Sus scrofa: one gene and its partners. The protein of the gene in region 2 purifies or fractionates together with the protein of the main gene of each other region. This does not show direct contact. Links are inferred from orthologs where the notes say so. Each region holds a gene or a part of one and is shown on either strand. Other genes may lie near its edges.

What was found.
Region 1: the proteins of POP4 (region 2) and RPP25 purify together in Homo sapiens (affinity purification with mass spectrometry; 3 studies listed by BioGRID and IntAct, counting the BioPlex papers as one, with this or other methods). This does not show direct contact. The link is inferred for Sus scrofa from reciprocal best matches to the Homo sapiens genes POP4 and RPP25.
Region 3: the proteins of POP4 (region 2) and RPP30 purify together in Homo sapiens (affinity purification with mass spectrometry; 4 studies listed by BioGRID and IntAct, counting the BioPlex papers as one, with this or other methods). This does not show direct contact. The link is inferred for Sus scrofa from reciprocal best matches to the Homo sapiens genes POP4 and RPP30.
Region 4: the proteins of POP4 (region 2) and POP1 purify together in Homo sapiens (affinity purification with mass spectrometry; 5 studies listed by BioGRID and IntAct, counting the BioPlex papers as one, with this or other methods). This does not show direct contact. The link is inferred for Sus scrofa from reciprocal best matches to the Homo sapiens genes POP4 and POP1.
Region 5: the proteins of POP4 (region 2) and RPP40 purify together in Homo sapiens (affinity purification with mass spectrometry; 3 studies listed by BioGRID and IntAct, counting the BioPlex papers as one, with this or other methods). This does not show direct contact. The link is inferred for Sus scrofa from reciprocal best matches to the Homo sapiens genes POP4 and RPP40.
Region 6: the proteins of POP4 (region 2) and RPP38 purify together in Homo sapiens (affinity purification with mass spectrometry; 4 studies listed by BioGRID and IntAct, counting the BioPlex papers as one, with this or other methods). This does not show direct contact. The link is inferred for Sus scrofa from reciprocal best matches to the Homo sapiens genes POP4 and RPP38.
Region 7: the proteins of POP4 (region 2) and RPP14 purify together in Homo sapiens (affinity purification with mass spectrometry; 3 studies listed by BioGRID and IntAct, counting the BioPlex papers as one, with this or other methods). This does not show direct contact. The link is inferred for Sus scrofa from reciprocal best matches to the Homo sapiens genes POP4 and RPP14.

Annotation. Positions count from the first base shown.
Region 1 is NC_010449.5:58,604,502-58,608,874, reverse strand, and holds the start of RPP25 (ribonuclease P protein subunit p25), read right to left. Parts: upstream 3,026-4,373; 5' UTR 109-3,025; coding exon 1-108. UniProt on the Homo sapiens protein: Component of ribonuclease P, a ribonucleoprotein complex that generates mature tRNA molecules by cleaving their 5'-ends. Also a component of the MRP ribonuclease complex, which cleaves pre-rRNA sequences.
Region 2 is NC_010448.4:39,732,966-39,737,531, reverse strand, and holds the start of POP4 (ribonuclease P protein subunit p29), read right to left. Parts: upstream 3,010-4,566; 5' UTR 2,769-3,009; coding exon 2,762-2,768; intron 534-2,761; coding exon 481-533; intron 1-480. UniProt on the Homo sapiens protein: Component of ribonuclease P, a ribonucleoprotein complex that generates mature tRNA molecules by cleaving their 5'-ends.
Region 3 is NC_010456.5:102,564,416-102,568,797, forward strand, and holds the start of RPP30 (ribonuclease P protein subunit p30), read left to right. Parts: upstream 1-1,386; 5' UTR 1,387-1,637; coding exon 1,638-1,719; intron 1,720-3,741; coding exon 3,742-3,797; intron 3,798-4,382. UniProt on the Homo sapiens protein: Component of ribonuclease P, a ribonucleoprotein complex that generates mature tRNA molecules by cleaving their 5'-ends. Also a component of the MRP ribonuclease complex, which cleaves pre-rRNA sequences.
Region 4 is NC_010446.5:38,625,180-38,629,002, reverse strand, and holds part of POP1 (ribonucleases P/MRP protein subunit POP1), read left to right. Parts: intron 1-763; coding exon 764-1,008; intron 1,009-1,533; coding exon 1,534-1,627; intron 1,628-3,823. UniProt on the Homo sapiens protein: Component of ribonuclease P, a ribonucleoprotein complex that generates mature tRNA molecules by cleaving their 5'-ends. Also a component of the MRP ribonuclease complex, which cleaves pre-rRNA sequences.
Region 5 is NC_010449.5:2,995,167-2,998,989, reverse strand, and holds part of RPP40 (ribonuclease P protein subunit p40), read left to right. Parts: intron 1-2,708; coding exon 2,709-2,907; intron 2,908-3,035; coding exon 3,036-3,170; intron 3,171-3,823. UniProt on the Homo sapiens protein: Component of ribonuclease P, a ribonucleoprotein complex that generates mature tRNA molecules by cleaving their 5'-ends. Also a component of the MRP ribonuclease complex, which cleaves pre-rRNA sequences.
Region 6 is NC_010452.4:46,723,026-46,727,452, reverse strand, and holds the start of RPP38 (ribonuclease P protein subunit p38), read left to right. Parts: upstream 1-1,490; 5' UTR 1,491-1,745; intron 1,746-2,982; 5' UTR 2,983-3,087; intron 3,088-4,427. UniProt on the Homo sapiens protein: Component of ribonuclease P, a ribonucleoprotein complex that generates mature tRNA molecules by cleaving their 5'-ends. Also a component of the MRP ribonuclease complex, which cleaves pre-rRNA sequences.
Region 7 is NC_010455.5:40,060,693-40,065,271, forward strand, and holds the start of RPP14 (ribonuclease P protein subunit p14), read left to right. Parts: upstream 1-1,485; 5' UTR 1,486-1,754; intron 1,755-1,765; exon of another isoform or gene 1,766-1,946; intron 1,947-4,579. UniProt on the Homo sapiens protein: Component of ribonuclease P, a ribonucleoprotein complex that generates mature tRNA molecules by cleaving their 5'-ends.

The DNA of each region.
Region 1 (4,373 bases), on a different chromosome or scaffold from region 2:
GCCGCCTCCCTCCTCCCCGTTCCCCACCGGCGCCTCCTCGGAGCGCACCTTACGGAAGTTCTCCATGCGCCGTAGTTGCCGGGACCGCGGGGACGGTGGCTTCGCCATGGGGCCGCTTCAGCCCCAGGGCTGCATGGCGGCCGGTCGCGTCCGGCAAGGGCCAGCAGGGGTAAGGGTGCGGAAGCGGCGTGGATGCTAGTGGGCGGGCGGGGACCGTACAATCCTCGTCTCCCACTCCTCTCCACTGGGCGCTGCTCTACTCTGCGCTCTCGGCGCCCTGTGCTCCGCGCCTTTAGCTAAGGCCCCGCCTGGGAGCCTGGGAGCCCCGCCCCCACCGACAGGCCCCGCCCCCAACAGCCCTGCGGGCTCTTGTCCCAGCCTCACCCGCCTCCCGGATCCAGTCCGGTCCTCAGCTATAGGCGCGTGGGAGCGGCACGCACGATGGAGCGCAGTGGCAAAGCCAGGGAGTGACTTGTTAGGCGAAGTTTCCCTATAATCGCCATCAGCTCTCTCTGAGACAACCTTCATAAACGGGCAATCTAAATAAAAACTGCGTTTGAGGTAAACGCCGCCTTAGAACGGGTCCCTGAGTCCTTCTGCGTTTCAGAACTGAAGGCAGCCCCTTGTCCCCTACAAGGAGAGATTTCGAAGCGGCCTGCTGGGGGCTGAGGCTTCTTTCTTCCACTTCCCCCCAACCCCCCCACCCCCGCTGTGTCCCTCCGCTCTGGAGCGGGTATTCTCGCCTCAAGGACAGCCTGTGCACGGTCAGCAGAGTGCGAGAGGGGCTGGCTCCGGCTTCGCTCCGCGCCTGCCTTCGGATGATTACGTCGCGGTGTGGTCCTAAGACAGGTTTCAGCTTCGCCGCGCCTGACTGAAGCTGAAGCATCCTGGACCCCTTCCACCCCCACCCCCTGTGGTGTGGGGACTGAGACCGTGAGCTAGACTGTTCCCTGAGGTGAATGAGAAGAGACCAAGGAGACCTCTTCTCAAGGGAGAGTTAAGCTGCCTCCATTCATGCCTGAAAGTCGAGTATTAAAGCTGCATGCTTTAGGGTAAGCCAGGTATTTTTCTTTGCTAACGTGGATCCCCTCCAGCACCCCACCCCCTTCTTCCCAGGTGGAATTCGTTATTAGTCAGCCTGGCTTCCTTTACAAAAAGGAGACTGGGTGAAAGTATGTTTTGAGGGAAAAGGGAAGTAGGTGGGAAGTTGAAACCTCGGGGCACTATGAAGCTACAGGGTGTCCCTTCCCAGGACCTCTGCAGAACAGAGGGAGTGGCCGGGGATCTCCTGCCAGGAGAGATGAACAGCGAAGGGAGAAGCGAGGTTGGGATTGAAGCGCTGCTGATGGGAGGGAGGGAGTTTGAGAAGAAATTGGACCCTCCCTCGATCTGCCCTAGGGTCTCCTTCTTCATCCTTCCACCCCCTTGCCCACGCACAGAACTGAAGAGTGGGCCAGACCAGATCTGGGCCAGGGTGACTACGTGGGGCGTGGCAAGGAGGAGCACAGAGTTGTGGCCGGTGGGAAACCCTTAAAGTGCTGGGAGCATGACAATGCTTGGGGGAGCCGGGTCGGTTTTGAGATGGAGCTGCCGGGTCCCCCACCCTCTCCTCGCTGCCATTTTTGCATCCTCAGCATCCTGTATCTCCTAGATCTGCCCTGTTGTTTGAAACCCAGGGATGACCCATTACCGCGCCGTGGGAGTGACTGCAGGAGGCGAACCTTTGAGCCCCACCGTACGAATGACCAACGCCCTTCTCGGATCTATTGCTCGCCCTCTGGGATCAGGGGCCCTCGAGGTCGCGTTCTGCTCCAAACCTGTACTTCCACCCCGCCCCAGCTCCCAGAGGCCCCTCTAGGAACAGCCCTAGGAGTCGGAGACACAGTAGTCTGAAGAAGACACAACAGTCTGCAGCGCGTGGCAGGGCGCAGGGAACCTCAGGCCCTGTAAGACTAGGGCAGTTGTGGGACTTAAAGAGCATCAGTTTCGTTAGGCCTGAGAAAAAGTCCCAAAATGGCTGGAATCTATGTTCGAACGGGCTGATAAGCGCAGAAGCGAGCTCTCCACCCACGGGAGTATGCGAGCCAAGGCTGAACGTTCACTTTGAAGGGATCACGCAGGGGTCTACGATTCGGAGGCAGGGGCCAGGAGTTTACGTCGGGTGAGGATAAGACCGTTCTGCGTTTGCCTTTGCTCTGAGCTGGCGCTAGAAAGCGCCGCCCCGCGGTCCCCCTCCACTGGCGCCAGCTGTAGAAGACTCGATTCACTTCGTTCCGCAGTCAGTGAAGGGAGACCGGGGAAAAAGGCCCGCGCCCCCTCCCGCCGCTCCCCTCCTTTTCCCAGCTCCCTCTGCAGCACTTAAAATGTAAATGTACATCGTGATTAGCCGCCGGGTCGCTAATTACCGCTGAAGCCATTCATTACTCTGACAGCGTGCGTTGCAGCCCGCCGGCTGTGCGCTCCTGTGGGGCCGCGGAGTGGCAGGACCGGGTGCGGAGCGAAGAGGGGGAGGAGATCGCGGGCAGGGGAGCGGAAAGATTCGAGTGGGGGGGCAGCGAATGAGTGGAGCGACGCTGGCAGGCCAGAAGCTAGGGCGGGAGAGGGGACAAAATGCTGGACGGTGACGTGCGGGGGCCGGGAGAGGCGAGGTTTGCCCAGGGCTGTTAGGAAAGAAGGCGAAGGAGCCGTAGCAAGGATAGCAGAGAAAGGGGGCGCTATGAGCGAGAAAACCGAGACGAGGAGCGAGGCGACGGCAGGATACTCTGGGGTCGGCTGGGAAGGGAGTAGAGGGCTCAGCTCTGGGAAGGTGGATAAATAAATTTGAGCATCTGTGGTGCACACTCTGCGACAGTTAGAAACATGGAAAAACAGTCAAGACTTTCTGTTGAATGAACTGGGTACCAGCTATCCACACAGTAGGACAAGTATTTTTTAAGCTAGGGAGTGAGGAATCTATTTCTGTGTGCACGTTTATAGATGTAAATGTATTTTTAAAATAACTGCAAGAAAACAGCACACTTCATCTGTTACCTCTGAAGCTGCATTTTGTTGGCCTCTCTAAGGAAAGAACTACTAAGTATGAATATAAAATTAAGCCCAGAGTTTTGAAATAGCCTTTGTTAAGTGAGGTCCTGACCTTGCGCCTGAGGTTCATTAACTTCTTTTCACCTCTGTGATTTGGGCATTTTTTTTTTTTTTTCTATTTTGGCCTCCCCTCGGCATATGGAGTTCCCTGGGACCAGGGATCAGGTCCTAGTGGCAATTGCGACCTTCTCCAGTGCTGCAGCAACAACGCTGGATCCTTTTATCCATTGCGTGGGGGGGAGGGGCAGGGCAGAAATCGAACCCGCAACCTGGTGCTTTGTGCCAGACCCTGTACTATGCGCTCACCTGTACTAACTCATTTCATACAACAATGAAACCACTACCCATTTCGTAAGTCAGGTAGAGCCAGATCCAGAGTCTGTCTGGCTCCAGAGTCTGTTCTGTTCTTTTTTTTTTCTTTTTTTCCCTCCCCCTCAACCTCCCTCTCTGGCAACCACCAATCTCTTCTCTGTATCTACAAGTTAAGTTCTGTTGTTGTTTTTAGATTCCACATATAAGTGAGATCATACATTATTTATCTTTATTTCACTTAACATCATGTATGTATACATACATAACACACAATAGAATATTATACATACACACACACCACATCTTCTTTATTCTTTTATATGTCAATGGACACTTAGGTTGCTGTCATGTTTTAGCTATTATAAATAATTCTGCAGTGAACATAGGGAGGCATATGTCTTTTAGAATTAATGCTTTCATTTTCTTTAGAAAATACCCAGGGTATGGGAGTTCCCGTCGCAGTGCAGCGGTTAACGAATCCGACCAGGACCCATGAGGTTGCGGGTTCGATCCCTGGCCTTGCTCAGTGGGTTAAGGATCCAGCGTTGCCGTGAGCTGTGGTGTAGGTCGCAGACATGGCTCGGATCCCTCGTTGCTATGGCTCTGGCATAGGCCGGTGGCTACAGCTCCGATTAGACCCCTAGCCTGGGAACCTCCATATGCCGTGGGAGCGGCTCAAGAAAAAGGCAAAAAGACAAAAAAAAAAAAAAAAAAAAAAGAAAGAAAGAAAATACCCAGGGTAGAATTGCTGGATCATACGGTAATTCTATTTTTAATTTTTTTTCTTCTGTCATTTTAGGGCTGCGCCCACAGCATATGGAAGTTCCCAGGCTAGGGGTTGAATTGGAGCTACAGCTGCCGGCCTACACCACAGCCACAGCAACGCAGGATCTGAGCTGCATCTGCAACCCATACCACAGCTCACGGCAATGCTGAATCCTTAACCCACTGATTGAGGTCAGGGATCGAACCCACAA
Region 2 (4,566 bases):
ATGCCATGGATGTGACCCTAAAAAGCAAAGAAGGAAAAACAAAAACAAAAACAAAAAAACAAAAAACTCCCTCATTCTGAGTCACCAGTGAAACTTCTGTTTGTAGTACCCAGATATAATCCATAAATGACAATTAGGAAATGTGACCTGCCTGGCCTCTTCAGGAGTGAAGGGAGCACAGTAACAAGGTCAAAAGACAGTGCCTGCCACAGCAGCTTCCAGGTGAGCGCAGCCCGGTGTCCCCTACACAGTGGGAGACGACACTGATCCTGAGTTCCAGTTAACCCAACTTGACTCTGGTAGCATGGAAAGGGAGACCCAGGGGAACAACAGACCCCGATTAAGCCTAACATGTCTGCTGGAAACGTGAGGAGTAAAACGTGGGAAAGGATGGCTAAAACAGCCCTACGGGTGGAGAAGCCACGGAGCCATGTCTGCCATCACCTCTGTTGCTCCCAGACCTCCTGCCAAGCACTGTACCTGAACATCGAACTCTTTCGCCTCTTTCTGAGAAAAGGCATTGTAGATCACACCTGGGGGATTTAAAACAAACAAACATGAAACAAACAATTCCGATCACTATGGCTTATAAGACCCAAGCCTTTTCTAATCATGAAAATAACCATGCTTATTCATGGAGAGAAGATACCAATGGTACAAAGAGCATAGCTTCAAAACTTTCCTGGACGCCTCCTGTCCTACTGTCCATCCATCCCAGAAGTTCCAAAGGTGTGCTTTAAAATAGTGCTTCTCAAACGTTAAGAACCTCTGTGATCTTGGAAGTTCCCGTTGTGGCTCAGTGTGTAACAAGCCCGACTAGAATCCATGAGGATGTGGGTTTGATCCCTGGCCTCGCTCAGTGGGTTAAGGACCTATGGTCTAGGTCACGGATGAGGTGTGGATCTGGCGTTGCTGTGGCTGTGGTGCAGGCCAGCAACTACAGCTCCAATTCCGCCCCTAGCCTAGGAACATCCATATGCCGCAGGTGCAGCCTTAAAAAGGGAAAAAAAAAAAAAAAAAAATCTCTGGGATCTTATTACAATGAAGAGTCTTGGGTGCCACTTTCAGATCCTGCATTTCTAACAAGTTCTCAGATGCTACTGCAGCTCAGCAGACCATATTTGGAGTTGCACTGGTTTAAAATTCCACAGGTTAGGAGCCCGAGCTCTAGAAGTCTAAAGATGTAACCCATTTAAAAGTTATGAGACAGGGATTTCCAGGATGAAGGAGGTCGGAACTACATTTTGTTAACATTTAGATATTTAAAAAAGACTTGTCACATTTTAATATCTATGAAATTGAGATGCATCATACAACTGATGGTGTCCTAACCTGATAAAATACAGATCTTCAAGCTCAAAATATATATTGCTCAGTGTGGTTTCAATCTTTAAAAACTCTTACGCTCCTGTTTCTTATTTATTTTTTTTTTTTTTGTCTTTTTGCCATTTTTGGGGCTGCTTCCGTGGCATATGGAGGTTCCCAGGCTAGGGATCGAATCGGAGCTGCAGCCACTGGCCTACACCACAGCCACAGCAATGCAGGATCCGAGCCGCGTCTGCAACCTACACCACAGCTCATGGCAACGCTGGATCCTTAACCCACTGAGCAAAGCCAGGGATGGAACCTGAAACCTCATGGTTCCTAGTCAGATTCGTTAACCACTGAGCCAAGGTGGGAACTCCCTCCTGGTTCTTAATTTGTCTGAAGAAGAAAACCACACACTGAGGACAGAATATGGGTGTGAACGGAATAAAAATGAGACAAAGACCTGGTTTAAGGGCCAAAAGATTAGAAAGTCTGGTTCATACTAGACTCTGTAAATTCTGCCCCAGCTCTCTTTGTGCTTCTCAGGTACATTGGACCAAGCAAGCCAAAGGGGTTACAAGTTTTATATACACAGTCTGGTTCTCCCTCCAATGGAAGATAGGGATTAAAACCTATCTGCAGGGCCTGGAACCCCCGGAATGACTTTGTGCTTGTCATAGGTTCCTAGCATTAGACGTGGAAGTCTTTTTTTTTTTTTTCCTTTCTGTAACAATAGATATCTAACAGTTAGTGACCCCTCATTACTTGCCATGCCCCTGATTTAAAGCTACATACATTTTATCTCATTACACTTTCTGAACAATCCTTTAAAGGAGCTATTATTCCTATTCTATACTAAGAAAACTGAAGTTCAGATACGCTGAGACACTGGATCACATACATAGGAAGTGAGAGAGGTGGCCCTCAAAATCCAGTTTTAAAGGTGTCACTCCCCTGCCTATAACTGTCCTGGGTGCTTGCTCCTCTCCTTGGCACACCTCTTCTCTGCTCAACTCCCAAAGCTTTGGTTTAGTGATATCGTTCCCCAGCACGCTCCCTGAGCTTTACACTAGGGAAGAGTCCCTCACATAACATCAGGCTGGGCAGGCACCTTCATCAGTACCTTACACAAAGGTAAACAGGGTTGCAGAGAGGAGCAGGGCCTTGACCAGGCCACCCAGGGAGGTACTGGCCAAGTTCGGCCAGGGCCTTGGGCCCTCCTCTAGCACCACACACGACTGGCAGCGCCCCCGAGATTAACCTGCTTCCAGCTCTGCCATCAATCCCTAGCTCAGAGACTGAGCCAGGCACACTGGGACTCCCGTGCCTTAGTTTTATTTATGTTAAGGAGGGATAATTCCCACAACAGTTCCACCAGCACCCACATCTAGTCTCCGACTCTTTACACCTCACTCCACCCCTCTCCAAAGTCGTGGCCCTCAACCTGGCTTACTCTTCATTCTCGGACCGCTTCCGGTGCGCTTTTCTGACGTCTCCTTCAGCGTCGCTCCCTCTTTACCTCCCTCTACTTTCTTCAGCAGCCTCGACTACCAAGCCTCTCGCCAAAGTTTGTGGCGGAGAGGTTTCCTGTGTCTGAAGTCGCGCGGTATGCTACATTGATACCAACACGCTCCTACTTTTAGCTGGAGTCGCTGCCCCAAACTCGAGGTTGGCGCCCCTGTGACGTCACCGACGCGCGCCGACCTAGGTTGGCGCATGCGCCTTGGGGCGGACTCCGCCGCACAAAGCGCCGTGGGGCTCTTTTCAGTTCGTGTGTTTTCTAGGCGAGGGAAGGCCAGAGGCAGTAGGGTTGGAGTTGGGGTGTGACATGCTTATGAAAGCCTGGAGTAGAGAGAGGCGGGTCGACTTGGAGAGGACTCGAGGGAGGTTGGGCCCCCGGGGTGGGTGGAAACGGGTTGGGGCGGGGCGGGGGGTGGTGATGGAGGAAATGAGTCTCTGCGGTCCCTGGTGAGTGCTCTCTACAGACCATCTGAGGCACTGAAGGATAGAAGGCTTAGGTTCTTATTCTGTCTGCTGTTAGCTAGGTGTGCAACCTCGCTTAAGGCACTTCCCATCTCTGGGCCTCACTTTTCCCCGTTCTGCTTAGTGGGGTTGGACTTGATGGTCTCAGAGTTTTCTAGAGGCTCGGCATATTAGTTTCCGTCAATAAGATGAAAGGCAAGGAGGAGTTCCTGCCGTTGGACAATGGGTTAAGAATCCGACTAGAGTGACCAGCGGTTAGATTCCCCCGGGCACCCCGGGCAGTGGGTTAAAGGATCCTTTGTTGCTACGGCTACGGCTCAGGTCTGAGCGCCTGGGATTCAATCCTTGCCCTGGAACAACTTCCTTATGCCGCGGGTCCGGCCTTAGGTTGAACAAAAAAAGTTAGAAGGCAAGGAGTTGATTCCCATTGCCCCGGGGTTGGGTTCAAGAAGTGTGTCAAGAAGGCCTGGGTGGAGGCCTCTTAGAAGCTACCTTAAGTTTTGCTGAGAGCTGGGCCTGGGTAGGGCCCTGCTCTGGAGAGAAAAGCAATACAGAGAGGTTCTGTGGTGGCTCAGTGGGTTAAGGATTTGGCCACTGTCACTGCTGTGGCTCTGGATACTGCTGTGGCACTAGTTTGATCCCTGGCCCAGGAAATTCCACGCATTCCACTGGCATGGCCAAAAAGAAAAAAAATAATGAAAAATAAAAGCAATATGGTCCATGTATTCTAAGCCAGTGGTTCTCAACTTTCAGTACAGTATAAACTCCTTTTAAAGGAAAAAAAAAAAAATTTCCCAGGGAATCCTGGGAGTATGTCCACACACCTGAGTTTGAGAAATATTTAAGTTTCTTTGGGTGGTGACCTTGTGTCATTTTGATCTTAAACATAAGACTACAGGCCCTGGAACTGAGCATTTACCTTCTATGTATATTACTATCAAAATGGAAACAGAGCATTAAAACTAAAATATGTCATATTTTCAGATGTCTGAGAATACTTAGGAGCCCACGGGATTAAATTTGAGAAATTGCTCTTGGGGTTCCATACTATGTAAACTACCAAATGTATATTTTATTTTTTTAATTTATTTTTTATTCTTTTTGTTTTTTTAGAGACGCACCCGCAGCATATGGAGGTTCCGAGGCTAGGGGTCGAATCGGAGCTGTAGCCACTGGCCTACACCACAGCTACAGCAATGTCAGATCTGAACCGCATCTGTGACCTACACCACAGCTCACGGCAACACCGTATCCTTAACCCACTGAGCGAGGCCA
Region 3 (4,382 bases), on a different chromosome or scaffold from region 2:
CAGTTGTTTTGAAAATTAAACATGCAGGCAACTACTTAGCAAATAGGCTGGCCCTCAGTAGACTGCTCAGTGACTGTCGTTCATTCATTTTCTTTTTCGTCCTTCTTCCTCCCTTCTAAGCCCAGGGTGAAGATAAGAAGTTTAAAGGGTATACAGTCCACAGAAACAGCGTCATGACTTTCAAAGAAAGAAGCCCTCTGTAGTCTAATTCTGGTATCAAATAATGAGTCATCTTATTCACCTTCACCACACATCGGACATATTTCCAAACAATTTAGGTTTTGTGGCTGCAGATGAAGACGCCTATAAAATTAACACTAGATCTTCCTGCAAAATTAACACGAGATTTTCAGATGAGAAGCCAGAGTTTGTTTTATATGACTTTCTTCTATTTGCAGAAGTAAAATTTTCTTCTGTTCTTACTTAGAAAACATCAAATATTAGATAGCAGAAGATTTCTTTTTTATTGAACTTAACCAAAAGGAGAATTACATACTACCACATGGAACAGATCCCTCTTAAAATTCCCTTCTGAGACCAAGAAAGAAGTCATGTAAAGAACAAATCAAGATGTGGCCCACAAACCCGAGACTCTGTGTACTGTCTGTGACAAGTTAGCAAAGAAACGGAAAATGTTTACAAACTTTCACATCCCTTTGGCATAGTCTGGAGATCCAAGCCCCTGATTTGTGGACTCTTATTCAGTCTAGTATAGAGCAGTTCAGATGTTAGATTAATCTTTTGAGGCCAGAGCTGCCTGTGGGTAAAGGACAATGGATCACTACTGGTGCTAGAAGAACTGGTGGAGGGAGGGGGGTTGGGAACTCGGTGAACTGACCCAGTAATCACGGGTACTTTGTAAAGCAGTGATGTAAACTCTAGTTCCAGAGTTTTATGTTCTCGGATAATTAATTTATCACTCTTCAAGAGTTCATGTGTACGAAAATGTGGAACCATCACAACTGTGGGATATATTCCACCTTGTACATCTGTCAGACGGAAAACTGTAAAACATTTCAATTGTGCACCTCCCTTGTCTAACCCATTTTTGGCTAAACACGTGCTGAAGCTAACCGCTTATCCCTGCCAACTCCAGGTTGAGAATACTGGCTGTAATGGAGTTTAGCATGCTGTGCCACCGTCTGTTCTGATTGAGCAAAATGACTTTTTTCTCGAGCAAACCTTTTTCGAGTTGTCAGGTCAGTTTCCCCATCTCCCCATTAAGTCCAATTTAAACAATGGAATGACCTTTAGGGGCGGGAAAGAAAAACGGATTTAAAACCCTTACTTTTTAAGGGTTTCCAGACCTTCTTTCCCTGTAAGTCCTCAATAAATGCTGTATACGTACATTTTGAAAGAATCATTTTCTACATTATTTCACAGGAGGAATGGTGGGCTATGTGAACCCCTTCGAGGGAAACAAAACTTTCCCATCCAGAGGAAGAAGAACTGAAGTGAGGCTGCTGACTTCCACACACTAACTTCTGCTGGGATCCGAAGGCGCTCAAAGAGCCTGGGAACGTCAGTCCGCGGGAGGGACGGGAGGACTGCTTAGGAAAACTGCAATTCCCAGCGTGCCCCGAGGGGGCGGGCCCTGCGGCTGCGCAGACAGCCGCGCAAGTTCACGTGATTTCAGCATGGCGGTGTTCGTGGATTTGGACCTGCGAGCGGGTTCCGACCTCAAGGCGCTGCGTGGGCTCGTGGAGAACGCCGCTTACCGTGAGTCGCCGCGGCTTCGCGAGCAGCGGTGCCTGCCCAGCCTCGCTGCCATCCAGATCGTCGGGCCACGTTCGGAAGGGACGCGGCCGGGCCTCATTCAGGTCTTCTGGGGTCTGGAGGCAGTCTCTGGAAGCTGATGCCTTCTGCGGGGTTGCTGTGATCCCGGGCCCGGGAAACTCGAAAAGCGCTGGGGAACTGTTACCCAGTCCAGCTCCTTCTTTATTGTGAATTGGGGAACTGAGGTCCTAACAGGGCCAGGGACTTATATAGGGCCTCACAGCTGAAGGCTGGCCAAAGCTAGTCTCCACCTGTGCTTTTAATATCGCCCCTTCCTACCTCTCACCACTGTGTACTGACTCAGTCAAATGCGGAAAGCTGGTTGGTGCACAGATGGGGAGTGCTTTGGGTGCTCCGAAAATGGGCGGGGGTGGTGGGACGTGGGGCTGCGAGTGTTGGAATAATGTTATTTAGAGGGAGGGTAGGTTGAGGCGTAGGACACACCAAGAGGTTGGGAAGGGACCAGCATGGCCAGAATGCTAGAATGTTACTCGTATTTGAATCCAAGGAAAGCAGAAGCCCTGAGAGGTAAGATCGTTCTAATCGAAGTTAATCGCGACTTCTGCCTTCTTCCTTAGACTTAAAGTGTCTAAGTGGAGATAGAGGGGTTTAAAAATAAAGACATTTCTTCGAAGTTCCCGGTTGTGGTTCAGCGGTAACAACCTAACTCGTATCCATGAAGATGTGGGTTCTACCCCTGGCTTCTGTCAGCGGGTTAAGGATCCGTCGTTGGGGTGAGCGTCGGTGTACAGATGCGGCTTGAAGTCCGTGTTGCTGTGGCTGTGGTGTAGGCTGGCAGCTATAGCTCTGATTCGACCCCTAGCCTGCGAACTTCCATATGCCACAGGTACGGCCCTAAAAAGCAAAAAAAAAAAAAAAGAGAGAGAGAGAGAGATATCTGCAGGGCCTATCAAGTAATGGATCCTCATTTGAAGGAGGAAAGAAAGAAGGAAATTGGAAAAACTATTGAGAGGGAAGACCACTATCTTGGCATTAATATATGTTATTTATTTATTTAGTCCTTTTAGGGCCGTACCCTTAGGGTATGGAAGTTCCCTGGTTAGGGGTTGAAGCTGCAGCTGCCCACCTATGCCACAGCAACATGGAATCCTGGTGGAGGCTTGAACCTACACCACAGCTCGTGGCAACACTGGATTCTTAATCCACTAAATGAGGCTAGGGATCAGACCTGCAGCTTTTTGGATACTAGTCAGGTTCATTACTGCTGAGCCACAACAGGAACTCCGATATGCATTATTTCTTTAATATTAATATCCTGTCCTCCCCATTGGTGTTTAACTCAACGTTTTAAGTCATGATTTAGATGTATTTTTGGTAGTCCATATGTCCAAAAACAGTGCTGTGTTGAGGCTGATAAACTAGGCTCTGACTTCAGAGAGTTCCCAATCTCTTGTTGGTGGGCAACTCAAAAGGGGATGGGGACAGTGGCATGTAAGGGAGTCCTTATTCCATTTCTCCTTAGCACAGGGGCCTCTGAAAAAGCAGAAGGGGTAAAGAGCAAACAAAATGAGTAAGAATGAAGATAACAGTGAAAAAATATAATTTGATGGGATGAAAATGAAAAAAGGCCTGAAAGAGAATGATGGTTGAAAGGAGATGCACAAAGTTAAGGGTCTTCTGTGTCTTGCTAATAATACATCACCCAGGTCAAACAAAACCCTAACTCTGTGCCAGCCACCATTTTTAAACATGCTATGTGTGTTATCTCATTTAGTTCTCATGACAGTTATATGGGGTAAATTCTGTTATTAACACCATATGATAGATGAAGAAGCTGAAACTTAAAGTAACTTAAGATTTGAAAACTGGCAGTCTGACTCCAGAGCCTGTCCCATAACCATTCTTCTAACTATCTTCTAGTCTTGATATGAATTGGGATGAGCCTATGTGTACAGGGAAGAGAGGTTATTGTATTTAATAAGAATGTTCAATTTTTCTTTTCAGTGGGCTATTCAGTTGTTGCCATCAATCATGTTGTTGAATTTAAGGAAAAGAAACAGGTAAAATACAATTTCTGAAGTTAATAATAACTAGCATTTATAATTATTTGTGTGTATATTTGTAATATAGAAGCTGCAGATGAGCATATTTGTTAAGTTCACTCTTTGTACACTGTCTTTTTTTATTTTTTGTTTATTTTTTTATTTTACCCTTTTTTTTTTTTTTTTTTTAGGGCAGCACCGACGGCGTATGGAAGTTCTCAGGCTAGGGGATGGATCAGAGCTGAAGCTGCCAGCCTATACCACAACCATAGCAACGCCAGGTCCAAGCTGCGTCTGCCACCTTTGCTGCAGCTCATGGCAGTGCCGGATCCTTAACTCGCTGAGCAGGGCCAAGGATCAAACCCACGTCCTCATGGATATTAGTTGACGCACAACAGGAACTCCTTTTTTTTTTTTTTTTTTTTTTTTTTTTTTTTTTGTTAAGTTCTGCATCTGCGGCATATGGAAGTTCCCAGGCCAGGGATTGAGTCTGAGCCATAGCTGCAACCTGCACCGCAGATATGGCAAGGCATGATGCATCAACCCTCTGCACTGGCCTGGGGATTGAACACATACCTCTGCAGCGACCTAAGCTGCTGCAGT
Region 4 (3,823 bases), on a different chromosome or scaffold from region 2:
GAAGTTCCTGGGCTAGGGGTCGAATCAGCTGCAGCTGCGAGCCTGTGCCACAGCCACAGCAGTGTGGGATCTGAGCCACAACTGTGACCAGCATGGAAGCTCACAGCAATGCCAAATCCTTAACCTACTGAGCGAGGCCAGGGATCGAACCTGCATTCCTCATGGACACTATGTCAGGTTCTTAACCCACTGAGCCACAGTGGGAACTCCAAAGAAAATCTTGACCTAACCTTTATTAAGCCCTAATAGAAGTAGTGATGAAAACCAGTCGTATTATGCAAAGGGCTTGGAATGCATTGAGACTAATGCTTCCACCAGCCTGACTGGGTTCATTGCTATTCAGGTGCTTGTTAGAGCCTATTTGATGATGAGAAGCTGGTTTGAGTAATTCTCATGACTTGCTAATACTGCATTTGGCTTCCCTTTTTTTTTTTTTTTTTTTTTTTTTTTTAGTGTAGTCACTGCTTTTATACAATAGACTGTAAATTTTCTCCAGTTTCCTCTTTAAACTAGTTTTAGAATAATTAGTCATGTTGTTTTCATTAATCTTTGACATTTACGTTCTTTTTTGGTTCCAAGTGCCAAGCACTACTCAGAGGAATCAAAAAAAACTTTTTGATCTTGCTAAATTTAGTTTAATTTGTGCTGAATTAAAATGTAAATTGTTGAAGGTAGAAAAAAATAGCAAAAATGAAACCAACTTGAATCGGTAATATATTTAAATTCCAGAGTGTAAAAGCAAAATGTTTAAATCTATCTTTAGGATATCTTAGAGGAAATAAAAGCCGCGTGCCAGTGTATGGAACCCACCAAGTCAGCTGTCTGCATCCCCGATTCCCTTCTGACACCGTCCCAAGAAAAAGGCCAAACGGAGAAAATTGGTAGGAAGAGAAAATGGGAAGATGATGGAGAAAATGCTGAACCAATTAAGAAAATCATTGGTGATGGAACTAGAGACCCACTTCAACCATATTCTTGGCTGTCTCCAACCACAGGCATTATGATCAGGTATGGGCTGAATTTGCTCAGAACTAGGTTCTGAGTATTTTCAGTGAAGGTGTACTCTTTTTTTTTTTAAATTTTATTGAAGTATAGTTGATTTACAATGTTGTATTAATTTCTGCTATACAACAGAGTGGATTGGTGTGTGTGTGTATATATATGTATATATATACATATATATATATACTTTTTCATATTGTTTTCCATTACAGTTTGCCATAAGGATTTTGAAAAGAGTTCCTTGAGCTATACAGTAGGGCCTTGTTTGTCCACACTATATATAATAGCTTAGCTCTGCTAATCCCGAACTCCCAATCCTTCCCTTCCCAGAGTGCTCTATTTTTGCTGGTGAAACAGACATTATATATGATGGAAGTTTCTTTCTTTTTTTTTTGGCCATACCCATAGCACATGGAAGTTCCCAAGCAAGGGATGGAACCTGTGCCACAGCAGTGACGCCAGATCCTTAACTCACTGAACTGCCAAGGGGCTCCTGGAAGTTTCTGTCTTAAGACTTTCTCTTTCTTTCAGTGATTTCACAATGGAGATGAACAGATTCCGGCTGATTGGTCCACTTTCCCATGCCATCCTAACTGAGGCATTAAAAGCTGCTTCTGTCCACACCGTAAGAGTAAATGTGATTGTGATGTTTTATTTGAGTTGGGTCCTTCTTGGCAAATTTGTGAAACCTAATGTAATTTGGTAACATTTTGGGTTATGCCTTATAAATGTTTGTTTCCCTACTTGTACTTATTATCAAAGACTTTTTTTTTTTTTTTTTTTTGTCTTTTTGCCTTTTCTAGGGCCGCTCCCGTGGCATATGGAGGTTCCCAGGCTAGGGGTCCAATTAGAGCTGTAGCCACTGGCCTACGCCAGAGCCACAGCAACGTGGGATCCGAGCCGCATCTTCGACCTACACCACAGCTCATGGCAACGCCGGATCCCTAATCCACTGAGCAAGGCCAGGGGTCAAACCTGCAACCTCATGGTTCCTAGTTGGATTCGTTAACCACTGAGCCATGATGGGAATTCCAAAGACTTTTATCTTTCACTTCTCCTAGAAGAGAAAATCTAAGTGAATATATTAAACTGACTTGTTCTTTTTTTTTGTCTTTTTAGGGCCACACCTGTGGCATATGGAGGTTCCCAGGCTAGGGGTCCAGTTGGAGCTATAGCTGCTGGGCTATACCACAGCCACAGCAACTCGGGATCTGAGCCGTGTCTTCCACCTACACCACAGCTCATGGCAACGCCGGATCCTTATCCCACTGATCGAGGCCAGGTATTGAACCTACGTCCTCATGGATGCTGGTCAGATTCTTTCCCCTGAACGATGACGGAAACTCCTGACTTGTTCTTATTTAAATACAGACTACTCCTGCAGCTTCTGAGTCTTATAGAAGGGTCTTAACGTCTCCTCCATAGGTGGGTAACAGGGAACCCCTAAAATCCCTGAAAGTTTATGCCAGTTTTTTGTTTGTTTGTACTTGTGTGATGCATATTTTCTGGTGCAGGTTTTAAGAGTGATCTCTAAAGGTGGGAGCAATGTGTTAAGTACATCTCTGTCCAGTAGAACTTTCTGCAAGAGTGCCATTCAGTAGGGGAGCCACCAGCCACATGTAGCCACTGAGTGGCTAGTATGACTGAGGAGGTGAATGTGAACCTTTATGAAATTTTAATTAACTAATAGTTAAATTTGAATAGCTCTCTGCGGCTAGTGGCTGCCTTGTTGGCAGTGCAGGTCTGGAGAGCAGACACTAGATTAGGAATTGGACACTCTGGGGTTCAGATCTGGCTTGTTTTCCTGTATTAGTGCAATTAACCTCTCAGTGCCTGTGCCTCTCACAGATTGGACATGTCGAATGTGGTGAGAGATCTGAACAGAATTCAAGCTTTTAGAAAACGTCCTTTAAGAAACAAAGGCCACTTCTCCCTCCTCCGTTGTTTCTACGCTGGTCTCAACCAGTGTCGACTCTTTCCTTCTTTGTTCACCCCTTTCACTCCATTCTCATTATTTATTTATTTATTTTTGCCTTTTTGCCTTTTCTAGGGCCGTTTCCCTCGGCATATAGAGGTTCCCAGGATAGGGGTCTGATCTGAGCTGTAGCCGCTGGCCTACACCAGAGCCACAGCAACTCCAGGTCCTAGCAACGAATGCAACCTACCCCACAGCTCATGGCAACGCTGGATCCTTAACCCATTGAGCAAGGCCAGGGATCCAACCCGCAGCCTCGTGGTTCCTAGTTGGATTCGTTAGCCACTGCACCACAACGGGAACTCCCATTCTCATTATTTTTGAGATCAAGTCCAGAGCCCTTAATTTGACTGGTAATCTTGTGCCTCTGTGCCTGTCTGGTCTTATCTGTTCTCACCTTCTGCCCTTGAGCCACACTGGCCTTCTTTCAGGTTCTAGGCTGTGTCAGCTCTTGTCTTCCTTAGAGCCTGTCTGAATATTCCCACCTAACCACACTGTTGGTTAAGCCTTCCTCATTCTTTAAGTTTCGGTGTCTATATCATTTTCCTCTAGTATCCTTTCCTGACCACCCCCTACCCCAGTTAAATTACATGCGTCCTCTTGTTTGCATATTTATGTGCTGTTCGTGTCCCATTAGACTCTGAGCTTTGTGATGGCAAAGACGGGGTGTCTCTTCTTTAACCTGCTCCCCCAGGCTTAGCACAGTGCCTGGTGCAGAGTAGGTGCCCCTCTCTAGTGAATACATTGCAGAGGGAGGGTTTGAATCCTGCAAGTTCAGTTCCAGGGCCTGTACGTTGAACCACTAAGCCGTGCCACCTGAGTTTCTGCGTGGTAACTAGTGCATGT
Region 5 (3,823 bases), on a different chromosome or scaffold from region 2:
TCTGTTAGCAAGATGTGTCCTAAGGTAATTGGCCTTTTTTGCTTTACGCTGTTTCGACTTAACGAAAGGTGCCGTTCCCGAGAGCTGCGTCCAGGGCCATCTAGGCGTGCATCCGTCTGCCTCCATCTCCTCGGCTTCTGTGTCGACCCAGAGCTCGGAGGCTCAGAGCAGCTCGCCATTTTCCGTTTCTCTCCTTTCTTCCTCCAGTTTCCCTCCAACAGCCTCGGCTGGAGAGTTTTAAAATAACACCAATTTGGAGTTCCATCGTGGCTCAGTGGAAACGAATCTGACTAGCATCCATGAGGACGCAGGTTCAATCCCTGGCCTTACTCAGTGGGGTTGCCGTGAGCTATGGTGTAGGCTGGCAGCTGTAGCTCCGATTTGACCCCTAGCCTGGGAACCTCCATATGCTGCAGGTGTGGCCCTAAAAAGACAAAAAAAAATAAATAAAGTAAGATAAAATAACACCAATTACAGTGATATACGCAAACTGCTAATTCCTTTTTGCAGGGTAGTAATCAGGCGCAGCATTCAATGTCAGATTAAATTTGTTGTCACTTTTAACTGATTGGAACAATACATGTAGTTCAGAGTTTGATGTTCACGAGATAATTTAATCCGCCCGCATCTTTAGGGCGTTCCCACTGTGGTTCAGCAGTAACGAAGCCGACTAGTATCCATGAGTCAACTAGTATCCATGAGGCAGTGGGGTCAATCCCTGGCCTTGCTCAGGGGGTCAAGGTCCAGTGTTGCCATGAGCTGGGGTGTAGGTCGCAGACACAGCTCGGATCCACATTGCTGTGGCTGTGGTGTAGGCCGGCAGCTGTGGCTCCGACTTGACCCCTAGCCCGGGAACCTCCATATGCCGAGGCAGCAGCCCGAAAAAGCAAAAAAAAAAGTATATATTTGTTCCAAACCAAGATTACAATGAACCAGATCTTGGCGGTGCGCTGGGGGAAGACGGGAGCCCATCGCTCCATCCTGGAGAGAGGCCCTCTGACGGCACCTCCAGGGAATCTGTACTCAGTGGGAGCCGCAGGGCCTCCAAACTGTGGTGCTGCTCCTGGTGTGGTGCAGACAGAGGGCAGAGGGCTGACCTCTCGGTGGCCGGAAGCCTTCATGAGGGACGGCCTCCTTTACACCGGGTTCTGGAGAGCTCTGCGTTCCTCAGGCTCCTGTGTATTTTAAGGGCTTGTCAGGACCTGTGGAAGAGCTGAGATTTCACCCTCTTTGCAGGCTCTGAAGTTAGGCCGTATGATCTCGTGGGTGCTGAGCCCTAGGACAGAGCAGTGGTGGCCAGAGCTTCTGCGTCTGCCCCAACCCCCAGGTCCTGCTTCCTGCAGGGACTGCGTGGTGGGCAGGTGATGCCGGCTCAGGCGGTAGGATGCGTTATAAGAGGGGAACCTGGAGGCTCAGGAGGTCAGGTCTCTGATCCAGGACAGTGAGCCTGCTGACCTCTGCCCTGTGGGGAGGGAGAGCGGGTTTCTAACACGCTGCACAGTAAGGAAGCCTGCTCTCTGCTCCGGGGCGCTGCTCCTTCCTCTTCCAGTCCTTCAGGACACACTTTATCCTATTTGTTTATTTATGAGTTTTGGCCGTGCCCACAACATGCAGACGTTCCTGTGCTAGGGATCCAGTCCACACCACGGCAGTGCCAATGGTGGATCCTTAACCTTGAGGCCACCGGGGAGCTCTCCTCCTGGGTTTTCTTTTTCTCCCTTTTTCTTTTTTTGTCTTTTTAGGGCCACACCTGTGGCATATTTAAGTTCCCAGGCTAGGGGCCATATAGGAGCTGCAGTTGCCGGCCTACACCACAGCCACAGCACACCAGATCCGAGCCGAATCTGCCACCTACACCACAGCTCACGGCAGTGCCGGATCCTTCATCTGCTGAGCGAGGCCAGGGATCGAACCCGTGTCCTCATGGATCCTAGTCCAGTTGTTACTGCTGAGCCACGGTGGAAACTCCCTCCTCCTGGGTTTTATTTTTTATTTTATTTTATTTTTTTTTTATTTTTTTTGCTATTTCTTGGGCCGCTCCCGTGGCATATGGAGGTTCCCAGGCTAGGGGTCTAATCAGAGCTGTAGCCACCGGCCTACGCCAGAGCCACAGCAACGCAGGATCCGAGCCGCGTCTGCGACCTACACCACAGCTCACGGCAACGCCGGATCGTTAACCCACTGAGCAAGGGCAGGGATCGAACCCGCAACCTCATGGTTCCTAGTCGGATTCGTTAACCACTGTGCCACGACGGGAACTCCCTCCTCCTGGGTTTTAAAGACGAGTTGGACTGAGACTCTGTTACTGGGTTCCTCTCTCTTTCCTTTTGCATAGAGTGTGAAAATGTGCTCCTTTCTCTATGGAGTTCACTAATTTTATTGAAACCTAAGTCATGCTTTGGGTTTTTTTTTACTAAGTGAAAAGTTTCTTAGTAAACAAGCATGTGTGATGAGACTGGTATGCGTTGACTCTGAAAGGGTTATGATTTTCCAGGAAAAGTGTGACAGAAGGTGGGTGTTTACCGAGCTTTGACACAAGGAGCTGAAAGGAACCGAAATGGTTCTAATTTGAACAAGGCTTCGCACCACCTGCTTCGGTCGTACTGCATCCTACCTGCTTCCGGAAGCCCCCCGGTGGGAGGGGTGGACTCAGGGATTCTCCAAGCTCGTTTACACGATTCAAGTGGCCTTATTTGGTGTGTTTGAAGGTGCAGAAGAATCAACGCTGATGTCGTACTTTTCCAGTTACCGAATTCAGGAGCATCGGCCAAAAATAGCAGTGAGCTCGGTGGCAGATCTGCAGTGCCCGGTGCTGCGGAGCAGCGAGCTGGGGGGCCAGCCGGACACGGCCTGCAGCGCCCTGGAGCTCTTTGACTGGCTGGGCGCCGTCTTCAGCCACGCGGAGCTGTGGGTACCAGGGCCCCTGGGTCTTGGAGGGCTTGGGCTGGCTTCTTGTTTGTAATAGGGGTGTAGTGCTTTCAGGTGTGTGGTGGTGGATCTCAGCATCTTTTCTTTGGTTCTTTCTTTGGTTACAGAAATAACGAGCCTGACAGTTTCCTATCAAGCTATTGCTGTCCTCAGCCAAGCACAGTGGTGGCCAGAGCTTCCTTGTGCACCGTCACCGGGTTCATCCTTCCAGAGAAGATATGCCTCCTGTTGGAACAGCTGTGGTGAGAAGGCCCTTTGCCTTTCAGGTCCTGCGCCTACCCGTTGTTTCCGGGATGCTCTCACACACGCGTCCCCTCTGCTCTTGCCTGGGCTCAGGCGCAGTAATATTATCCTTTTTTTTTTTTCTTTCTTTCTTTTTTGTCTGCGCTGCGGCCTATGGAAGTTCCCGGGCCAGGGATCAGAGCTGAGCCACAGGTGTGACCTACCCTGAAGCTGCAGCAGCTCCAGATCCTTTAACCCACACTGCTGGGCCAGGGGTCCGGCCTGCGTCCTGGTGCTGCGGAGATGCCACGACCCTGTTGCTCCGCGGTGGGAACGCCAGTCTGATCACCTTAAACGAGGTGGAACCCTTGGTGAAATTGCTGGCTGTCCCTCCTTGTGCAGAGACGAAGAGTAGGTGGGGGAGGGATAAGTTGGGGGGCTGGGACTAAGAGAAACACGCTACCATATGTAAAATAGAGAGACAGGAGTTCCCTGGCAGCTCAGTGGGTTAAGGATGTGGTGTCGCTGCTGTGGCTCGAGTTTGATCCCTGGCCCCTGGAACTTCTGTATGCCGTGCATGTGGCCCAGTAAACAAATAGAGAAACAACAAGGACCTACCTTATAGCATAGGAACTGTATGCAATAACCTGTAATAAGCTAGACTGCAGAGGAA
Region 6 (4,427 bases), on a different chromosome or scaffold from region 2:
AAAGCTAAATTTGACACTATTTTTAATTTTATTTTTTAGATATTAAAATATTAGATTATTTTAAAAATGTCATGCCTATTTCATTTTTAAAAACCTTTTTAAAAACCTTCCACTCTGATTCAATGATTTCTCATCTTTTTATCCAATTTCTGAGAGCTTTAAAAACTTGTATTTGGTGGCATCACTTAGAATGTGATTTACACTCAACATTACTTCATCTTTGAAATGATACTTTTATCATTCTTGAATCACTGTGGCTTCATTGAAGGTTTGAGAGACACTCTGTAGGACTAAGTCATTACCCTGTAATTTGACAGTAGATGAAGTATCACCTTTTCATTACTTTGAAAAAAAAATGACCTTGCAATTGATTCTTACATTTAACATTTAAATATCAGTTCTGCCACCATTAAATTTAACTGCATTGACCACATAAGAAGCCAGAAAAATCACTGGGTCACAGGTTAATCTAATTCAATTTAAAGCCAACAAAGGATAACTATAATTAGTAATTTACCAATTCAAGGGCCAGAGTTGTTACATTCAAAACTGGTTGATTTGGGAGTAATTAGCCTTAAATTTTAAAACATTATTCTGGTTGCAGAAGCTCTTTCAGGAGCTTATTAATATTTTTAACAGACTGGATGATTCATGAAGTCTAAGCTATTACCTAACACAGCCAAAACTGTTGCACTTACTGTCTGAGTCTGTAAATTGATCTTATTTTACTTGACCTGCCTTAGGGTATAGGCTCACAGCCTTTTTTTTATCAGTGGTAGTATACATGCTAGTTAGTCCCCAACAAAGATTTTGAGTATTACATTAAAAAATAAAAACAAAACAAAAAAAAACACAAGATACAAACTTCTTGCCTTCCAAAGCCCAACACCTCCATCTCGTTTCTGATGAATAAGGAGACTGGCAGGGTACAAACAGAGCAGAGCCGAATTAGGACAGTCAGTGACATTTCAAGAAAAGAATTCTGCTGGACCATGAGGACTTGCTGCCCCAAACTGAGACTAATTTAGAACTGCCTGTTTGCAGTGCATCAGCATTATTTGTTACTATTCATTTTATGAAACAAAAGTTGTTACAAATTCGTTGTAAATTCATTCTTTTAAATCTGATTGTAATAAAAATTTAAAAATCACAGGCGTTTCACTCCTGGCGCAGCAGTTAACTGCCGGACTTGTGACGGCACCTCCCCATCCCCTATTTATCTTGATTTCCACGTTGCTAGGGATTCGGCAGGGACTCAGTGACAGAGGCACTGCGTCAGGGTTTTGCGACCCTCAGGTAAGTTAAAAACTAAAGCGAGAAGAGCTCAGATCCCCAGGCGCAGAAAGGAGGACACTGGAAGAGTGTTGCGTTACAAAGTAGAAAACCATCCTCTCGGAGTCTAATGGCGAAGGGACTGGCGCTCACATCCAGCCGCACACCCCGCAAGCGGCCGGTTACCAGGCAACCAGAGCTCTCGCGAGACACACCCTGCACCTGCGCACTGCCTCTGGATGGCCTTTTCCGGATCCTCACCCCAGCTCAAGGCAGTTTCTAGAGATCGAACCTTTCCCTTTTTCTAGCCTTTTTGAGAAATGGCGTTTGGGACTAGCCCGGCGCAGAAGGAAGAAGAGTGAGGTCCCCCGAGTGGTCCACATCACCCCAGCGCGTCGAAAGGCGGGGCCGGAGAAGGCGCAGGTTCTGCGCGCGCGCAGAGCGGCCCACGTGGAGCTGGCGCAGAGGCCACCGTGAGTGGGGCTCGGGCGGGGGTCTGACGTTCCGAGCGGCCGCCAGGGGAGGGATCCGTCCTGGGGCTTTGCCGGGTGCGCGCCGTCTCCCCCGCTCCCCGACTCTGAGGGCGCACGCACCCGGGACCACAGTGTTTTCCGGTGTCCTGGCTTTGGCCGCTAGTCTGCTCTCCGCCGGGAGCTGAGCACTGTTGGGTACGAGAAATAACGCCCACCCTGGTCCCTCTGTACTACTCAGTCTGGAAGTGGAGGCGGACAAGAAAATAATTCTAGTCTCGTGTGCTAAACCGTAAAGTCGGTAGGCACTAGAGAGGCAGCAGACATTAGGAGGGATCAACACTGGGAATTGGCCCTGTCATCCCCTCGGCTGCCGGACCCCGAAACTCGAGACCCCTCTCTTGAGTTCTTTCTCTGTTTTACTCCCAGTTGATCGCTAAGTCGGGCGGATTGCACCCCTTCTGTTCATCCCTCTGCGGCGTCTCTAGTGCCGCAGTCATTTCTTTACGGTTTGGTCCTTGGCAAAGGCCTCCTCCTGGTCCAAGTTCACACAGCTCTTTCCCTGAGGCCTTTCTAACTACATCGCTCATCTTGCTTTGAACGTTCCCACTGCCGCTTCCCGCTGCAAGGTTTGCAAGTCTTCCTCACCATCTCACCCGCTCTAGCATCTCTGCTCCGGCGATATTGACATTCTTTCTTTTAACGCAATTTCCTGGGATACCCTTTCTGATAGCCCTTTGGTAGGTATTCTTCAGATGCAGGTTAAAGGGACACTTCCTCCAGGAGGCCTTTCCTGACCTTCTCAACAGAGTCAGATCTCTGCTCTACATCTCGTAGTTTCCGTACCTTGATTTGCATCGCATGTTATTTTATTACTCGCTGATAAATCTTCCTCATAGGTTCTGAGCCCAGTGGATCCAGTGGCTGTTTTGCTTTCATTTGTAATCTTTCTGGCTTGCTGGCATTGTGGGAAATGCGCAGATACTTGCTCTAGTAAGAAATATGGTGTTGTTGGGGCTGATGGTAGGAGTAGTTTTCCAGGCAGAGGGAATATGTATAAAGCCCTGGAGGGAGGAACTGGTCATCTCTTGAAACAATATGTGGGGCATGAGGAGAAAGATGATGGGGGGATGCGCCAGAGTGTGGACTGACTTGGCTGTCACCTTAATGAGTTCACACTTGATGCTACAGGCCTGAGGCCTCCATTTTCTTTCAAATCCTGTTACTTCTTCCACTTTAGTTTTGGATTCTGTTCCATGAGACTCATCTGAACGGAACCCCTTGGTCCTTGTCTCCCTGTCTAGATTCTGAAGCCAGGAGGAGCTGATGCACAGAGCACGTACCTGTAAGTATTTCCTCCGTGTTGTCTGGATGCTGAGGCACGTGAACTGTGGTTTGCAGTCTGGCAGGACCTCTGTCAGATCATTGTATTCGTTCCTGAGTCATTTATTTCCCTCCTCTGACCACCTTCGGGTTGGCACTGGCCTCTGCCAATCCCGTCATGGGGCGTGACTGCACTGGAGGGGAGTGTGGGGATGATGGGTGGGGAGGGCTGCGCCCTGGGGCAGGGTGGAGGAAGCAGCTTCAGAGGCCCAAACCGCCTTTCTAGCCGTGGGCACCACTGATACCAACACCAAGGTCTGGGCTCTCTCCCCTAGGGAGCTGAATTTTGATTTTCTGTGAGAAGGTGACGTAGAAGGAACACCAAGGCCAGCAGAGGTCAGGGGACCATTTCTCAGGCTGCCCGGTGTGGAAAGGCCCCCGTCCTACACCGGCGTTCTCAAGCCCCATTCTCTATCAGATTCCCGGCAGCCTTTTTTCCAAGTACAGGTGCCGTGCCATGTCCTCAGGGATTCCGATTCAGTAGACCTTGAGAGGACCAGCCGTCCACATGTTTTACCAAAAAGTCACAGATTAGGGAGTTCCTGTTGTGGTTCAGCGGATTAAGAACTATGACTATTATCCATGAGGATGAGGGTTTGATCCCTGGCCTCCCTCAGTGGGTTAAGGATCCGGGGTTGCTGTGGGCTGTGGTGCAGGCTGGCAGCTGCAGCTCTGATTCACCCCCTAGCCTGGGCACTTTCATATGCTGTAGGTGCGGCCCTAAAAAGACAAAGAAAAAGTCACAGATTATTTCTGAGGTGCAGCCAGGATTGAGAGAGCATTAAAATTGGATTTGGGAAAACCAGGTGTGACTCGGGCAAGGTACTTACTTAACCTGAGCCCTTCTCCTCCTCCACACGCTAGGCAGTTAAACTGGTGCTTTGTGAGCATCTGATAATTCACAGAGAAATTGTTCACACATTCTGACTACCCCACGGAAATACCTGCCCTTCAGCAACAGCATCAGTGACTGGGCTTCTGGGTGGAAGTTTACTTGGAGGGGACTTAACTGCTAATCCTGCAGGGGGCGCTCTGCGGAGGGCGGGTGTCCATGGGATGAAAAGATCTACAATGAGGGCGTATCTGGAATGAGAAAATCTGGTTACCTGAGAACAGGGACGAACAGGGACACCACCCAGCTCCAGACTTCTCCAGAGCTGGCTAGTTGAACTTCCTTCAGTTTTGCAACATGGGTCCCTGTGGTTCCCAGCTGAGCCCAGGAAGGAAGTGAGGAAGAAAACAAGGGAAGAGCCATATGCAGTTTCCTCTGGGCAGGATGACCAGGACATGTGCTCCAGAGCA
Region 7 (4,579 bases), on a different chromosome or scaffold from region 2:
ATAACCCCCCGCCCCCACCCCTGTGGGGCCTGGGGCTGCTTTACATGAGCAAATGTATCCATATTTCTGATGTATACAATGTGCATATCCACAGCAAATGGGACAGAAGCTACAAAATGTTTCACCTAGGTTCAGATTAAGCATTGCACCTAATGAAGAAAGATTTAGTCTTCAGATTTTTCTTCGATTTTAGAATTGCAGATAAGGGACAGTGAGTCTGCATTTTCTTTTTTTTTTTTTTTTTTTTGTCTTTTTGTCTTTTGTTGTTGTTGTTGTTGCTATTTCTTGGGCCGCTCCTGCGGCATATGGAGGTTCCCAGGCTAGGGGTTGAATCGGAGCTGTAGCCACCGGCCTACGCCAGAGCCACAGCAAGGCGGGATCCGAGCCGTGTCTGCAACCTACACCACAGCTCACGGCAACGCCGGATCCTTAACCCACTGAGCAAGGGCAGGGACCGAACCCGCAACCTCATCGTTCCTAGTAGGATTCGTTAACCACTGCGCCACGACGGGAACTCCTGAGTCTGCATTTTCTACCTCCTCTCTCCAACCTTGGCAGATGGGGGTGGGAGGTGACATCTTAAGGAAGTCTATTCTTCCATGTGAAAGGAGAGGCATGCAGAAGGGTATGGTCCAAGACTCCCTCTTGGGAGCCTAAATTTTACTTACTATCAGTATTATAAAAATGATGCCCTATCACTTTAAAAGAAATCAAACAAAAACGAATGCTGAAACAATGTGAGGATCTCTTACACCCTCCACACAGCCCAATCCTTCCTCCATCAGTCCCCTTGGGACCCATCTAGACATTATACTTATGTGTCTATGTATGTATGTGCATACCTAGACACAGACACATGTCTAACTGGAGGAGGCTGTTACCACCGAACCTAAGTTCGACTGCTTGCCGCTTGAAAGGCTAATAGTGCCTGGCATACGTAAGCATTTGATTAATATTAGCTATTAATACTACTATTATTATTAATCCACACTGTATGGGGTTTTGTTTATTTCATGAATACAAGTGCCCTATCTTTTGTTTCCAACATCTAGCACATAATACGGGCTCAGTAAGTACTTATTTAATAAACGAATAAATGAAACTATTGTCTTAGATTTGGAAATAGGGCTATCTGGGACTTTTCATGTCAATCCAGACAGAAAAACTATGTGCTATGAGCCAAAAGAGACACTGAGAACGGGTCTTGCCCTTGGGGAATACTTTACATAGGAGATGCTCAGCAGAAGAAATGCTAGATACAATTTTTCTGAACGAATGAATACCTGAGTAAATGAATGACTAAGAAAAAAGCTCTCAGTCTGAATACGCCCTCAGTCACACACGGCTTGCCGCACCAGAGGCTGAGTGGGCACGAGAGGGCGCTAAGCCTGGCGAGCTTCAGATCCCGAGTCACGCCCGGGTCCTTCGGGAAAACGCCGCGCTGTGACGTCATATCCGCCCGAGCCGTCACGCATCCGGGGTCGGGGCAGACAGAAGCCAAACGTAAAGACCCCGGAGTTTTCTAGTTCGTGCTTAGGCTCCAGCCTTTGCCGAGAGGTTCCAAGCCTTGAGGGATTCTTGCAGTGAATAGGAGTCAGGCTAATCTCTCGGAGAGCAGGTAGACGGAAGTACGTAGTAGCGTGGCTGTTTTCCGGCAGTGGACTTAGTTGGCCGCGCTAGTGACGCGTGGATGCGCGCGCCAGGAAGGCACGCGCAAGGCGGGAGCGACGGCAGGCAGCGCGGAGACGCCTGAGGTACCTATACAGCTCAGGTCGCTCAGCGCCCCAGGCCGAAGGCGAGGCGGTGCTGAGAATCTCCTTGGGCTTTTGTACAACGTGGTCTTTTTTGCAGAGGGCGGCGGGAGGACTGAACGGGACCACATGTGCAGGGGGCATGCACTCGGCCCCAGGTGGGCGCCCAGTCGACGCCGACGGTCATCGAAAAAAGTTAGCCTGCTTTACTTATTGTTTAAAACAGTTCAGGTGTCGAGTTCCACTGTTGTGGCAGCGTGGAAACGAATCCGACTAGTAACCATTATGTTGCTGGTTCGGTCCCTGGCCTCGCTCAGTGAGTGGGTTAAGGATACTGCGTTCCTGTGGCTGTGGTGTAAGGCTGGCAGCCCTAGCTTCCATTCGATCCCTAACCTGGAACCTCCATATGCTTTAGGTGCAACTCTAAAAAGCAAAATAAAACAAAACACCAGCCTAAGTGGCTGATAGCTTAACAATTTAATCTCCAAACAGTAGAGGACCGAGCTTTTTAAAATTTTTATATCGTTTATGTCCTGTAATTACATACTGAGTGCCTACTGTATGTGATGCACTGTTTTAGCCTCCTGGGAAACAGCAGAAAACAAGGGAAAGATGCCTGTTTCTCTTTGGATTGTACATTCTGGTAAGGCCGGGGTGGGAGGGGGGAGGAGCAGGGCGGAGTGCAGACGAGAATTAAAGAATTTCAGAGTTTCCTGGTGGCTCAGCGGGTTAAGGATCTGGTGTTGTCACTGCTATGGGGTGGTTCGACCCCAGAACTAACCCCTCGCCGCCAACGCACCCCACCCCTCCAAAAAATAAGTGGATTTCATAGTTATGTTCTGTATACCTACAGAGTGGTGTATGCTCTGAGGAAAAAATAGAGCAGTGGCGTGGGGGGGTGACATTAGATAGAAATGCCACTGGAACACATTGAGGGGTGAAATTGAGTAAAGCTATGGAGGAGGCAAGGGAATGAACCATGTGGCTGTCTGGAGGAAGAGTATTTTCAGCGAATGGAAAAGCTGGGAGGGAAAGAGCTAGGAGGCCTGTGTGGTAGAAGAGACTGAGCAGAGGAGAGTGGTAGGACAGGAGGTCAGAGGGATGGGAGGAAGCAATGGTACAGATCAGGTTGGACCTTAGATGTAAAGACTTTGGCTTTACTCAAGGCTTCAAGCCTTGAGGAAAGGGGCTTATTAAGGTTTTAATAGGGTCACCCGGTTAGATTAGGGAGGGAAGCAGGGACATCTACTGCTAATAGATAAGGTAATGAGCATCCTTGCAGCCATCAAAAAGGCCGGCTTCAGAGATGATGATAATGACAGCCACTTAGAAGTGTTCACATTTTCCCAGTGAGCCTGGTGAATGAATATACTGGGCTGTAGGGAGGGCTTCCCAGGCATCATCTCCTTTAGTTTCAGGACAACCTGCAGAGGGCGGTGCTGTCACTCTGAGACCCAGGCCTGTCAGAGGTGACTGCTCAATAAACACTTGCTCCTACAGTTTTTTTTTTAATATAAAATAAACATAATGAAAAATTTACTATTTCTAAATATACACTTCATTGGCAAGAAGTATAGTCACATAGTTGTACAACTATAACCACTATCCATTTCCAGAATACTCCTTAAGTCTTCTTTGTTATTGGCATCCTAAGCCCCAGGCCCAATCTCACTCTACCTCAGGCAGCCACCTCCACTAAGGCAATCAGTAATGTTTAATAAACACCTATTGTGTGCCAGGCAATGAATGAAATGATTGAGGATACTGTCCTCCCTGCCCTTCCAGTCAGGGGAGATTGTAGTGATTGAGAAGGGAGCACCGTGAACTACTGCAGTCCTGAAACAAGAGTTCCCACTGTGGCAAAGTAGGTCAAGGATCCAGCATTGCTGTAGCTGCATCTCAGATTTGATCCCTGGCCCAGGAACTACATGTGCTGTGGGCGCGATGGAAAAAGAAAAGAGAAATGAGACACCCTTGAATGCTACCACCATTTAATCAGTCATGTATTCAATAAGTGTTTGTTGAATACTCTGTGCCAGACTCAGGAAATACTCATATTTGTTGAATAGGTGGTTGGATGTAGTGGCTTTGACCTTGACTTCTCATTTTCTCTTGAGGTTGTCTTCTGGGAGTGGTTGGAACTGGGACCGGAGAGGTTTTTGTGAATGCTGGTCTACAGCTATGTGACCTTGGAAAAGTTCCTTTCCTTGGATAGGCTTCAATTTCCTGTCCCTTTAGTTGGGGGAACCACATATTAAACAAAGACAATGTTAAGAGATGACATACCAAGGGAGCCTAACTTACAGCAAGGTGTCAGAGAAGGGCTCTCCGAAGAAGTGATGTTCCTAGAAGAGGTGAACTTTAAGCTGGAATTTGAAGGATGAGTAGGAGCTATCCAGAGTGGAGTGAGGTGGGTGAGGAACCCAGGATAGGGGTTCTCTTCAGGGGGAACAGCATGTACTGAGCTCTTCCAAGTTCCAGATCTATTGGGAATGGCTTGAGTGCCCATTCCAGGAATTCCTTTAAGACCTTTGCTGTTTAATCTGTCTTCACAAGGCTGACAGATAGCCCTATGCAGGCCTGGCCTCTGGACTGAGAGAATAGGCAGATCCAGCATGGGGGCAGGGCAGCAGAAATCTACCCTTCATTCTGTTCATGTTCTGTGTTGACTGAGTGTAAACAGGAAGAGGACTCAGATTTTACTCCTTTATGCCTTTTTTTTTTTTTCCCTTTAAGAGCTGTCATACTAGAGTGGTCTCGGGGCTCTGGAGTGGTTGGAATCTCTTCTATTCCTTTGGGGAGGTGTGACCTGTCTTTGCCGAACCTCA